Caenorhabditis elegans: one gene and its partners. The protein of the gene in region 2 purifies or fractionates together with the protein of the main gene of each other region. This does not show direct contact. Each region holds a gene or a part of one and is shown on either strand. Other genes may lie near its edges.

The links.
Region 1: the proteins of teg-4 (region 2) and sar-1 fractionate together in Caenorhabditis elegans (co-fractionation; one large-scale study listed by BioGRID). This does not show direct contact.
Region 3: the proteins of teg-4 (region 2) and snr-7 fractionate together in Caenorhabditis elegans (co-fractionation; one large-scale study listed by BioGRID). This does not show direct contact.

What each region holds. Positions count from the first base shown.
Region 1 is NC_003282.8:4,511,035-4,514,905, forward strand, and holds sar-1 (Small COPII coat GTPase SAR1), read right to left. Parts: upstream 2,286-3,871; 5' UTR 2,279-2,285; coding exon 2,233-2,278; intron 2,188-2,232; coding exon 2,068-2,187; intron 1,870-2,067; coding exon 1,804-1,869; intron 1,753-1,803; coding exon 1,516-1,752; intron 1,457-1,515; coding exon 1,344-1,456; 3' UTR 859-1,343; downstream 1-858. Other genes in the region: rfth-1 (Man(5)GlcNAc(2)-PP-dolichol translocation protein RFT1), read right to left, coding at 90-175, 225-266; ZK180.8 (uncharacterized protein), read right to left, coding at 406-549. UniProt on the Caenorhabditis elegans protein: Small GTPase that cycles between an active GTP-bound and an inactive GDP-bound state and mainly functions in vesicle-mediated endoplasmic reticulum (ER) to Golgi transport.
Region 2 is NC_003279.8:6,812,725-6,817,602, forward strand, and holds the start of teg-4 (Splicing factor 3B subunit 3), read left to right. Parts: upstream 1-1,786; 5' UTR 1,787-1,805; coding exon 1,806-1,892; intron 1,893-1,938; coding exon 1,939-2,007; intron 2,008-2,059; coding exon 2,060-2,218; intron 2,219-2,263; coding exon 2,264-2,521; intron 2,522-2,833; coding exon 2,834-3,088; intron 3,089-3,157; coding exon 3,158-3,399; intron 3,400-3,478; coding exon 3,479-3,641; intron 3,642-3,983; coding exon 3,984-4,152; intron 4,153-4,210; coding exon 4,211-4,362; intron 4,363-4,405; coding exon 4,406-4,561; intron 4,562-4,613; coding exon 4,614-4,878. Other genes in the region: ulp-5 (Ubiquitin-like protease family profile domain-containing protein), read left to right, coding at 1-25, 74-240, 290-383, 450-556, 671-862, 906-1,010, 1,059-1,164, 1,210-1,326.
Region 3 is NC_003279.8:2,725,179-2,728,240, reverse strand, and holds snr-7 (putative small nuclear ribonucleoprotein G), read right to left. Parts: upstream 1,228-3,062; 5' UTR 1,224-1,227; coding exon 1,095-1,223; intron 1,042-1,094; coding exon 937-1,041; 3' UTR 859-936; downstream 1-858. Other genes in the region: Y71F9B.6 (Cyclin N-terminal domain-containing protein), read left to right, coding at 1,590-1,712, 1,766-1,923, 1,975-2,102, 2,171-2,255, 2,334-2,483, 2,840-3,014. UniProt on the Caenorhabditis elegans protein: Plays a role in pre-mRNA splicing as a core component of the spliceosomal U1, U2, U4 and U5 small nuclear ribonucleoproteins (snRNPs), the building blocks of the spliceosome.

The DNA of each region.
Region 1 (3,871 bases), on a different chromosome or scaffold from region 2:
AGCCACGCCCACAAAATTTATTAAATATTAAATGAATTAGAATAAATTTCACTTTTTTTCTGTAAAATTAAATTTAAAAAACCGCTCACCTCACATTCACTAATCCTAAAACATCGTTATTGATCCTCCGCAAAAGATACATATTTATAGCGAACGATATTATTCGAGCGATTAGCTAAAAGTTCAAATTTTCTGCTCAAATTAATATTTTAATATATTTTTACCTGCCCCCGTACATTATGAACAAGTGACGAGAATAATGACATGGTTTTTATCGCTTTTTAATCTGAAAATTGAAAAAAACAATTCCCGCAAAATTATCGAATTCAAAGTATTTTGACGATAAAACTATTTTAATAGAGTTTACAAGTAAAATATAGATGATGATAAATTCAAAATATTTATTTAAAATTCTATGAATAAAGGAGGTTCCCTTCCCTGATTATTGGATATTCGTAGTGGGTGCACACGAACACCATTGCGTCGAGAGAGTGGAGGAATAGAGAATTGGAGTGAGCTGTGTGCACTCAAATGTACTGCAGAAGCCATCTGTGAGACTACGACGAAAAGGTTCTTCTGGAAAAATAGCCAATTATCTGATCTGAAATTAATTTTTTTTCCGCACCTGAAATAGAAATGTGTCCGTTTGACCACTTGGAACACAAACCACATAATGGAATGTTTGACCATGTCGCCTGACTACAGGCCCTTGTGATCAAATGTACTCCGATCAACAATTTTCTTTTCAAATTCCAAGTTTTTCAGTTTCAGTTATAACTATAGTTAAAGCTCGCCACAAAGAAAACAACTATATGGCGTGACGTTTTTTTTCTTGTGAGTAGCGTGATAAGAGAATAATTTCTGGGAAAACTTCGAACTGCAACATTCCGAAGCTGTTTCATTCACATAGAACTAACCGAAATAAAAAATTAGAAAATCTGAGGGGGAAATGAAGTGGGACGAGAAGAAAAATGGGGATGTTTGAATGATAGTGATGTGATAAATACGGAATAGATGAGGAAAAGGTTTGAATAAATTTTTGTGGAGAATAGAAAAACAATGAGGACGCCGTGAATTTTTTACAAGTCCGTATAAGTCAAAATTTATAAATAAAATAAAATGGGATTGCGGCTTGCTTTTTTATGCACAAACGTCGAAGGCATGAGAAGTTTAATGATGAGGATCCCAAGGATCCCAAAAGAAAAAACGAAGGAAAATGACAAGTACGTACAACAAATCTATGGGAAATGTTGGCGGCGCAATATGTAAGAGAATGGTGCTTTTTTCGAGAATGGAATAAAAAAGGAGTGAGCAGAAGAAGAAGAGTTCAAGAACTGATCTGTTTACAGGTACTGTCCAAGCCAACGGATTCCTTCTCCGTATCCTTGTCGCTGAAGAACAGAGCACATGAACACTTCCATCGGCCGAGAAGCCATTTCGTTGCGGGAAACGTCTCCTATAAAGATTTTCGTTTTTTAAATAAATTCAAGCGATAATTTCCAATCAAAAACCAACCCTTTCCGGTGCACATATGTTGAATGTTGAGTTGCCACTTGAGCTGATCCTCACTCAATGCTCCTGGCTTGTCAATCTTGTTTCCGAGAATAAGCACTGGAACGGAAGCGATCTGCTCGTCCTGGAGCAGCGATTCGAGCTCAACACGGCTTTCTTGCATTCTTTCGGCGTCGGCCACATCGATCAAGAAGACGACGGCGTCCACGGCAGGGAAGTAATCTTTCCAGACTCGTCGTGCTGGAAAAATGAAGAAAATTAGTTTAAAAAACCGAAAAAACGAGTGAATACCTTGCGCGTGACCACCGAGATCGTATGTGGTAAACGAAATTCCTCCGAGTGACATTTGCTCAGATGCTGAAAAATAATCAATTCAATAATTCTCACAACTAGTTTTTTGCGTCATCATCTTTAGCAATTGACAGATGATAAGCAAAACCGGTCAATCAGCTGTAAAGAAGAGAAAGATATCATTTTTTTAAAGTAAGATTCCTTCCTTTAACAGGCTGAACTACACCGGAATTGCTTTTAAAATCAATAAAAAGCGATAATTACTTGGGTGAAGAGTGGGAACGTGTTGAGCAATACGATCATCTTTAAGCATGTGAAGCAGTGTAGTCTTTCCAGCGTTGTCTAGTCCCAAAAATACCAATTTTCCCTTTTTGTTGGCCAATCCTGTAAATAAAAGGTTTTATGATGGTAAAATTCAGTTTTACAAACCCAGCATGTTGAGCACTCCATTAAACCAGTCCCATAAAAACGACATATTGAATCTGGAAAATTATGCAATTAATTTATTAATTAAATCACTTAAAAATCGGGTAAATCAGGCATTTTTTAGAGAATAAATGAATGAACTGAAATAGATCAAAAGTGGGAACTTTTAGTGGTTAAATGGGGGTGAGAAAAGAGGAAAAGAGAGAAAATAACGAGGCGGAGACATTCTGTGTAGCGTGCTACACAGAGACAAAACGACACGCGCTTCCACGTGTACCCGAAAAGAGAAAAGAGACGCAGTGTGATAATCAAAAAATTCTAATTCTGAAAATCGGCGATTCGGGACCAGGAAAGCTTCATTTAAAGTGAATCCGGAAAGCGCTGACGTGTCCAAAGTGGCAGATGGTCGAGAAGTGCGCCAGCGTCGGGAAATGCGTCAGTAAGGATGAAAGGCGCGCTTTCCGTGCGGAATGGAGAAAATACGCTTAAGCTTTAAATAACAATTAAAGGCATGCAAAATTCGACAAATATCACAAATTTTAAGTAGAGACGAAACATAATGGAAAGACAATTGGCATTTACAATGTAAAACTCCTAAATTTCAACAATAATCGGTGGAAAATTAAATTTTCGTTTAAATAAAAAGTTTAAAGAATAAAACTTACGCGCCAAAACTCCTTTTAATGAAAAATGTTCAGATCACTTCGAAAAATCGATTTTTGAAACTGATTCGAAAAAATTTAAATGTTGAAAAGAGTTTTTATGGCATGGTTTTTTCTCGATAAAAAAGAAAACGTGAAGGAAATGTTTTTCTTTTGAAATTATTCATTGAAATTTGAATTTATAAAATAGTAAAACTTATTCAGCTACATTTGGTCTCGACACGCCAGATAATTTGTTTAATGCCTCAAAAAAAGCGTGCGCCTTTAAATACTACGGTATATTTCTTCGATTTTAAATCCGCTCAATTTTTGAGAAACTGAAAAATGAAATTTTTAATACCATGGGAGAAACTAATACCGCGACCCGAAGGTTTGTCATTTTTGTGGCAAAATACGGTATCCGGTCTCGACACGACAATTTGTTGTTAATTGCAAAAAGGTGTGCGCCTTTAAAGAGTACTGTAGTCTCAAACTTCTGTTGTTGCACAATTTTCATTGTTTCTCATATTTTTCTTAAAAATAGGTGTATCAATTATAAAAAAATATAAAGTAGAGTTTCCTACCGTCCAATGTAGGCTATGCCAACACGCAAAATTCACGTTAGTTTGAAAGTTTTCATTTTCAAAAAAAAAATCAAGTTCATTCATTTATTTTTTTTTTCGAACTTTATTTTAAGCCAGTCGGAGTAGGTCGAGCCGTAGGCTCGAACGACACCGGCTGGTCAATTATAAAAAAAAACACACATAAATATTATTTAGCAAATCGCGAGTAAAACTGCAAAAAATCGATGAAAATTCCGCTGCACCAAAAGTTTCAAACTACAGTACTCCTTTAAAGGAGTACACCTTTCTGTGTTTAACAAAGATAGTCATGTCGAGACCGGGTACCGTATTTTCGCCTCAAAAATTACGATTTTTTCGTTTTTTTTTAACTCAAAAACCTGTAAAAATATTTTTTTGACAGGAAAAATTAAAAATCCG
Region 2 (4,878 bases):
AAAATGCGAAGCACCCCCCGAAAAGGTGAGAACACAAAATTATCCTTAAAATTCAGATTTGTATAATTCTCAGAGACTTGCACATTTGGAGATTAGATTCAAAGATCGCAGACATATCATTCCTCCATTATTTCATAATGGCTGGGTGGGACGAAATGAAGATCGAACTTTACTCAACGACACAATCATTGAATTTTATATGTGTGATTGGATGCGTTTGGAAGTGTTCGATGAGGCTACGTAAGATATGAAAAACATTTTTATGAAATTAATGTTTTCATAATTACAGAAGAGCCAGTAGTCACGTCTTTCATTCATTCTTCTTACCGAAAATAAAGACTTGTTTTAAAGATTTTAAGGAGAATCCGCCACGGAGATCAGAGGTTTGTAGATATTTCAAAGATTGAAAAACTTCAATGGCGATTTCATCAAATGATATGACATTTCAGCTCGCCAACCACTATAACAGATTCTTCCGCAGCAAAAATGATGCCGAAACGTTTCTCAAAAAAGATATTCTGCTAATCCCAGTTCATCTCGACAAACCGAAACATTGGTAAAATATTTTTAACCTTTACAAATCTGAGAAAACTATTCGATATTTAAAAGTTCTAAATTTACTTCAAGTTCCATCTAATTGTTTATTTTTAGAGTTTCAAAGAGTTTGCAGGTTCCTCGTGATTGTGCATAATCCATCAGGCGCGGTTCGTCGAATTTCCGACGTCAATATACTTGACGCGACCAATAAAGTGAAGAGTAGACGATTGTCAAGACGGATAACCGGTCATGTTAATTGTGATGAAAATGCCGGTGAATGTCGAATTATTATCATGGATAGCCTGGTTCATTCAAAAAAATACAGGTAAGCAAATATTTTAAACTGCTATGCATAAAATAAAATTCAGAGAAGTTATTGATAAGACCCATGATTCCACTTTTGATCACATTCGTCTTTGGCTCCTGATGTCCGCAGCTGCAACTGATGTTGATATGTTTTGCACGAGATTCCGGTTAATTGTATTTCTTGATATCCATCATATACCTAATAATAATTTCAGAAAAGTTGTGTGTCAGAAGCTTCCGCAACAAAAAAATTCAGTGGATTGTGGTATCTTTATGATGGCATTCGCAGAGTATTTTACAAAATACAATACTGCGTGGCAGGTACACAATACCAATTGTTTTCAGAAAAATGTTTATTTTTTACAGAGCCTGCCGACAGATGCTCTCGCTGATTTGAAGATGGACGACGATATCAAGTCGTTGTTGAATAGTGAAACGCCACGACAACGTCTTGATGAGCTATTTCAATCACTGAAAGCTTGATTTTTTCTAATAACACTGTAATTTTTCACTCTTTCCTTCCTTCCTTGTGTTGTTTTTGTTCAAATATGATTCGGGAACTTAATATCGAATCATGAAATTTCTGTTTTTGTTCTTTTTTCTGATTTCTGAAAACTAATTGCATGCCAAACTTCTTTTTTTTTCAAATTTTTGCTGTAAAATGAAAATTTTGTTGCCTTTATTCGTTGTATTTAATTAAATACAACATCCCCTGGTAGAAACCGTGCCATGTATCTGCGAAAACGCGCGCCGCACATTGCGGTTCAAGCCACGCCCACTTTTCAAACGGCTCTGCTTTCGAATATTATTTTTAGATCTAATTTTTCTACACTTTTTACGACGGGAAAGGTTGAAATACATGGTTTTCGTATAATTCCAGTCTTGTGAACTTATGTCTCTTCAATATTTGCAACATCTCAATTTTTGTTCCATGAATATATGTGTTTCAGCCGTGTTCCACAATGCACTTGTACAATTTGACACTACAAGGGCAATCGGCCATCAATCAGGCCATTCAGGGCAATTTCTCTGGAACCCCCAAGGCGCAGGTATAAAAGTTAGAGAATTATATGATTGAAAATGTGTTTCTTCCAGGAAATCGTTGTTGGGCGCGGATCAGCACTGGAGTTGCTCACACTGGATACAGTTACAGGCAAAATAAAAGTAAGAAATTGATAAACTTACAGATTTTGATAAACGAGAATTGATTTTTAAGGTTATGTGCCACCAGGACATTTTCGGAATAGTTCGATCGCTTCTCGCTTTCCGTTTGACAGCTGGAACTCGAGATTTCATCGCAGTTGGTTCAGACTCGGGTAGAATTGTGATTTTACAATATAACGCTGAAAAAACATGTTTCGAGCGGCTGCATCAGGTAACCTTCCGCGTGGAAAGCATATATTTTCACTATTTTCTTTAGGAAACTTTCGGAAAAACTGGATGCCGTCGAATCGTTCCAGGCCATTTCTTGGTTGGAGACCCACGTGGACGTGCATTAATGATTGGAGCCGTTGAACGTCAAAAGCTTGTTTATATTATGAATCGAGACTCTGAAGCACATTTAACAATTTCATCGCCACTTGAAGCTCACAAGCATCACACATTGTGTTATGCAATGGTTGGAATCGATGTGGGATTTGAGAATCCTACTTTTGCGTGTCTGGAATTTGATTATGAGGTAATGAAACAAGACAGAATATTTATTTTGAAGACCACTACAATTTTTCGTTTCTATATAATTGTCGAAGAAGGCAACTTTCGTTGTGAAGATTTTGTTCAAAAAGGTTATCTCGTAGATTAGGATAGCAAACCGGACGTTCGATGAAAAAAATCGGGCGTCCAGTTTGCCAGCTCATGCCAGCAATAGACATTATCTCAGTGAAAGGTTCATTGTAATGTCAGATTGATTTGAGAAAAAAGATAATTAGAATTTGAGAGTTTTGTTAATTTTTAATTATGTGAAATCCAATAATCAGCTCTAATTTTCCAGGATGCTGACAACGATCCAACCGGAGAAGCAGCAAAACGAACACAACAAACGTTAACCTTCTACGAGCTTGATTTGGGATTAAATCATGTTGTTCGAAAGTATGCGGAACCTCTAAATGATCCAGGAAACTTGCTTATCGCAGTTCCAGGTGGTAATGACGGTCCGTCTGGTGTCATCGTGTGCTGTGAAAACTATTTGGTGTACAAGAATCTTGGTGATCAACCAGATATTAGATGTCCGATTCCAAGAAGAAGAGTGAGATTTCTTTTCTTTTTCTTTCTGAATTTCTCCCCAAATTATTTTGAATTCAATAATTTTTTACAGAACGAGCTCGATGACGCAGACCGAACAATGCTCATCATTGCGACGGCTACTCATAAAACGAAAAATATGTACTTTTTCCTTGTTCAAGCTGAAAATGGAGATATTTTCAAAGTAACACTGGAAACTGATGAGGATCTTGTGTCGGAGATGAAACTCAAATATTTTGATACTGTACCGCCTGCGAACGCTTTATGTATTCTGAAATCCGGATTCTTGTTCGTGGCTGCAGAGTTCGGAAATCAGTTAGTTTTTTTTTTTAATTTTATTGAAATCTATTGTATATTTTAGTAATCAAACGTTTTACAATTAAATTTATTTCAGTGAGCTCTACCAAATCGCTAGTCTGGGTGAAGGAGATGATGACGAATTTTCATCAGCAATGGGATTCGGAGAAAACGATGCGGCATTCTTTGAGCCACATGAGCTCAAATCTTTGATTCCAATTGATTCAATGGATAGTTTGAGCCCTCTTACAGATGCTGTCGTATGTTTTACGAGTTTTAATGGCGGGTTAAGATTTCAAAAAAAAAACGATCCAAATTTTGCTAAAATCTGAAATTTTGCCAACTTTTTTTTTGTAGAAACTGGAATACGGACACATTTTACTCCGATAGGAATTCAATTTTGTTCCTCTTTAATTTCTAATATGAAAGTATTCGAAAAAAAAACACTTACATTAATTTTTTTTTTTTCATTTTAGCACCAGCATCATGTTTCAAACCCATTTTTAAGTTTAAAAAATGAAAAAGTCAAAATTCTTTAAAAGCTGAAAAATCGGAAAAAAATGATTGTTGAATATCAAAGCTAAAACGAAATGAATTTACAGATTGGAGATATTGCTCGAGAAGATGCAGCACAGATTTACTCACTCGTTGGACGTGGTGCTCGATCTTCTTTGAAAGTTCTTCGAAATGGACTTGAAATTTCTGAAATGGCAGTTTCTGATTTGCCTGGAAATCCGAATGCTGTGTGGACTGTGAAGAAGAATATCGAAGGTTTCATTTAGAATAAAAATTAAAAATCTGACCAATTTCTTAAAATTTAAAATTTCAGACCAATATGACTCATATATTGTTGTTTCCTTTGTCAATGCCACACTTGCACTAACAATTGGAGATACTGTCGAAGAAGCATCAGATTCAGGATTTCTTCCAACTACACCAACTATTGGATGTGCAATGATTGGTGATGATTCTCTTGTTCAGGTATATTCGAAAAGTTTTCTGTTTTAATTATCTTTTTTTTCAGATCTACTCGGAAGGTATTCGTCATATTCGGGCAGATAAGCGTATCAATGAATGGAAGGCACCACCACGGCGACAAATTGTCAAGTGTGCTGTTAATCGACGACAAGTTGCAGTTGCATTGACAGGAGGAGAACTTGTGTATTTCGAATTAGATTTGGTAGAATTTTACAGAAAATAACTTAATTCAAATTAATGATCATTTTTTGCAGAATGGAACATTGAACGAGTTCACGGAACGAAAACTATTCAACGCAGATATTGCATGCATGACGTTCAGTGAGATTTCAGAAGGAGAACTCAATTCTCGTTTTTTGGCACTCGGAACAGTTGATAACGCTGTTAGAATAATTTCTCTCGATCCAAATGATATGCTTATGCCATTGAGTACTCAAAGTCTTCCATGTCCACCAGAATCTATTCTTCTTATTGATACACCGAATGAAGATGGAAAAGGAGTTGCAGCTGTTCATTTGA
Region 3 (3,062 bases), 4.1 Mb from region 2:
AAATCCAGATCAGGTTTGGGGATTGGCGCCAATTTTTCAAAATGACCTATTGTGACATGTTGATTCATTTAAAATTGATGTGAAATTATAGAAAATCACTTGATTTATCTAAAACAAACATTTATTTCAGTCGAAACACTTGAGGAAGAGCTCAAAAATGGCCTGAAATTAGCAAATTCAGGCTATTTTTCAGCATTTTCTCGCATGTTTCAACTGAAATGGGTGTTATTTTCAGATAAATCGTCTGATTTCTATATTTTGGCGAGAAATCAAGCGAATTCACTGAATTCCGGCTGAGAATCTGCCGCGTTTTGAAAATTGATATTTCAACTCTTCGACGGCTGCAGCCACAAGAGTACGGAAAGATGAGAAAGCACATCTCGTACAGCTTTCGGATGATGATAGGCGTGTGTGTGGAACATTTTTCTGTTTTGAAAGAAGAAAATAGGTCGGCAGAAAAAGAGATAAGAAGTGGGGAAAGAGTATTCTTTTTTGCTGCTGTTGTGCCGAGTAAGAGTAACGAGAAGAATAAAGAGAGAAAAATGTGGAGAGCGTCGTCGACCGCACATAGTGGAAAGAGAAGAGGGATACACAAGTCTCTCCGTGTTTTTGTTACTCTGTTTCGTGCCTCTCTTCAAAATGAACACTATTTCGTTCAATTTGAGCCGTGGAAAAACAAAATGCTGAAAAAAAGCTTTACGATTGATTTTTTTTATGCCTGCAATAATAAAACATAACTTTTGGTACATTTGTTTGTGAATTGATTCTATTTGCGAAGTTCTTATCTATACGAAATTCACGTGAATCAGAGATGAGAAGTGGGTTTTGACCACGTAGTTATCAAAAATTATCAAAAAAAAGGTTCAAAAATTTAATATCAAAATTTGAAAATGAAAACATTGAGAAAGTGACAGGAAATTGTGGAGATCGAAAAATCTAGGAGATTCTCTCCTTGGGCTCCATGATGACGACGGAGTTTCCGCGAATGACAGTCATGCCGAGGTTGACGGATCCTCCGTCCTTTTGGTACTCGACAGCTTCCTGCAATATTAAATTTTAGAATAAATTAGACAAAAACGGAAAAAGAAACATACGTCGATGACCATGTTCATGAATGGATCGAAACCGCGGAGGATTCCAGAGACGCGACGGTTTCCGTTGAGCTTCAAGTCCATCTCCTTGTCCATGTACTTTTTGAGCTCTGGTGGATGTGTCTTACTCATTTTTCTGAAAAATTGAGAATTTGCAGGGGGAAATGAAAATGAAGAATGGAAAAATCATCAAAGAAACAGATTTTACTTAAAATAGAAAATAAAGCTCATTTTTCAACTTCCACCTATCGAAAATTCAGATAATACATTAATTATAACATTTTTTAACTAATTTTTCAAAGAATAAACATGATAATTATCAGGAAAATTGGATGAAAAAGGCTAAAATCGACGAAATTATTTTTCGAAATTCGAATAGTACGCAAACACCACGCTTGGTACACCATAAATGACGACAAGTTGCAGACGCTTGCACACCGTACTCACACAATTCTTATCGGATTTCCGAGCTTTTTCTTTTCGTTTTTCCAATTTTAGATGGTAAAAAAGAAGAGTAACTATCATATTCTCGTCGCACAAAATTTCTTATCAAATATCAGTGTTGATGGAAGCCACAATGACACAAATCTTCGAATTTTCCAAACAAAAGGCCTTCCGAAGGTGAGAATCTTGGTTTTTCAGCGATTTTCGTAACTAATTGATAATTTTTTCAGATATCTCCAACGGAAAAGAAGTTTTCAAACGGCGCAAGCTCCACAACCACCATCCGCAACAATGAATCAGTGATCTCACTCGGAACATCCGCTTCACTCGGAGAACGGCTAAGCTCGTCGAATTTGCCGCAGGAATACGCGGAGACACCACAGAAAAAGTGAAAATTAGTTGAAAATCAATATAATTAATTAATTTTCTCTATTTATAGAACTTCAATCTTCCGAAGAATCGCGAAAATCATGAGCTCCGACGACGTGATCTATTCAATGACCGCCACAAACAGTAGATCTCCGATTCTTGAAGAAGGCGTCGGGAGAGAAGATAGTGGGCTGATTGGTGAGCTGGCGAGCTTATAAAAGCTTACAAAACTTGAAATAAAATAAATTAATTCAAAATTTTCACAGAATTTCGCTCAGAATCACCATCTTGTTCTTCAAATCAGTTCAGTTTTCTGAGAAGGCTCAAAAGCACCATTACCCATGCAGATAGGTGAGTTCAACCATCATAAAATCCTCTAAAATCCCCCACACTAACCGTTCCGTGTTGCGAACTAACCCACATTTTCAGATTTTACATCTGCACCTCGACGAATGGCCAGCCTCTGGCAGTTTTCTCGTATATCTCGCCGAACAGCGACTACGTGGATCCGCTGGCGCCGATTTTCGCCAACACAACCGTCAATAAGAAGAAATTCCGATCGAAATCGATTTTTGGAAGGTTTAGAATTAACATCTCCTCTATAATTTATATCTTCTACCTAATTTTCCCCGAAAACTGGCAATTATCTAACAAAATTTCACAAAAAAAGCGCAGGAATTCAGAAATTTCGGCTATGCGATCTTAAAGGCACATGGGTTTATTCAGCTGTGCATCGACGCGAAAAGACAGCATGTGGTAGTTTTTTTTGTTAAATTTTTCAGTTTTCAGACCGAAAAAAAGGAAAACAACGCAAATTTTCAGCAGAAAGTAAGAAAAAACGCTGCAATTTGCTAAAAATCCGTGCGCCTTTAGGTCAAAATCTTGAAAAAATACGATAAATTCCCATAATTTCACCTTATAATCCAATTTTCCAGCTCGGATCGCATGCGGCATCAGGCTCACTTATCAACAGAAGAGCTGCGGCCATTTGTCTTCCGAGACGCTGAAGATCAAGTAATTCTGGGGCAGATTCGCCGAAAGCGGAATCCTTCGCCGTTTTTCACGCTGTTCGACAAGTCGCCCGCCTCGATTTCCAGGAAAGAGCGGAGGGTGAGGCTTTGAATTTTGAATTTTAAGATTCAAAATCCGCGGAAAAAA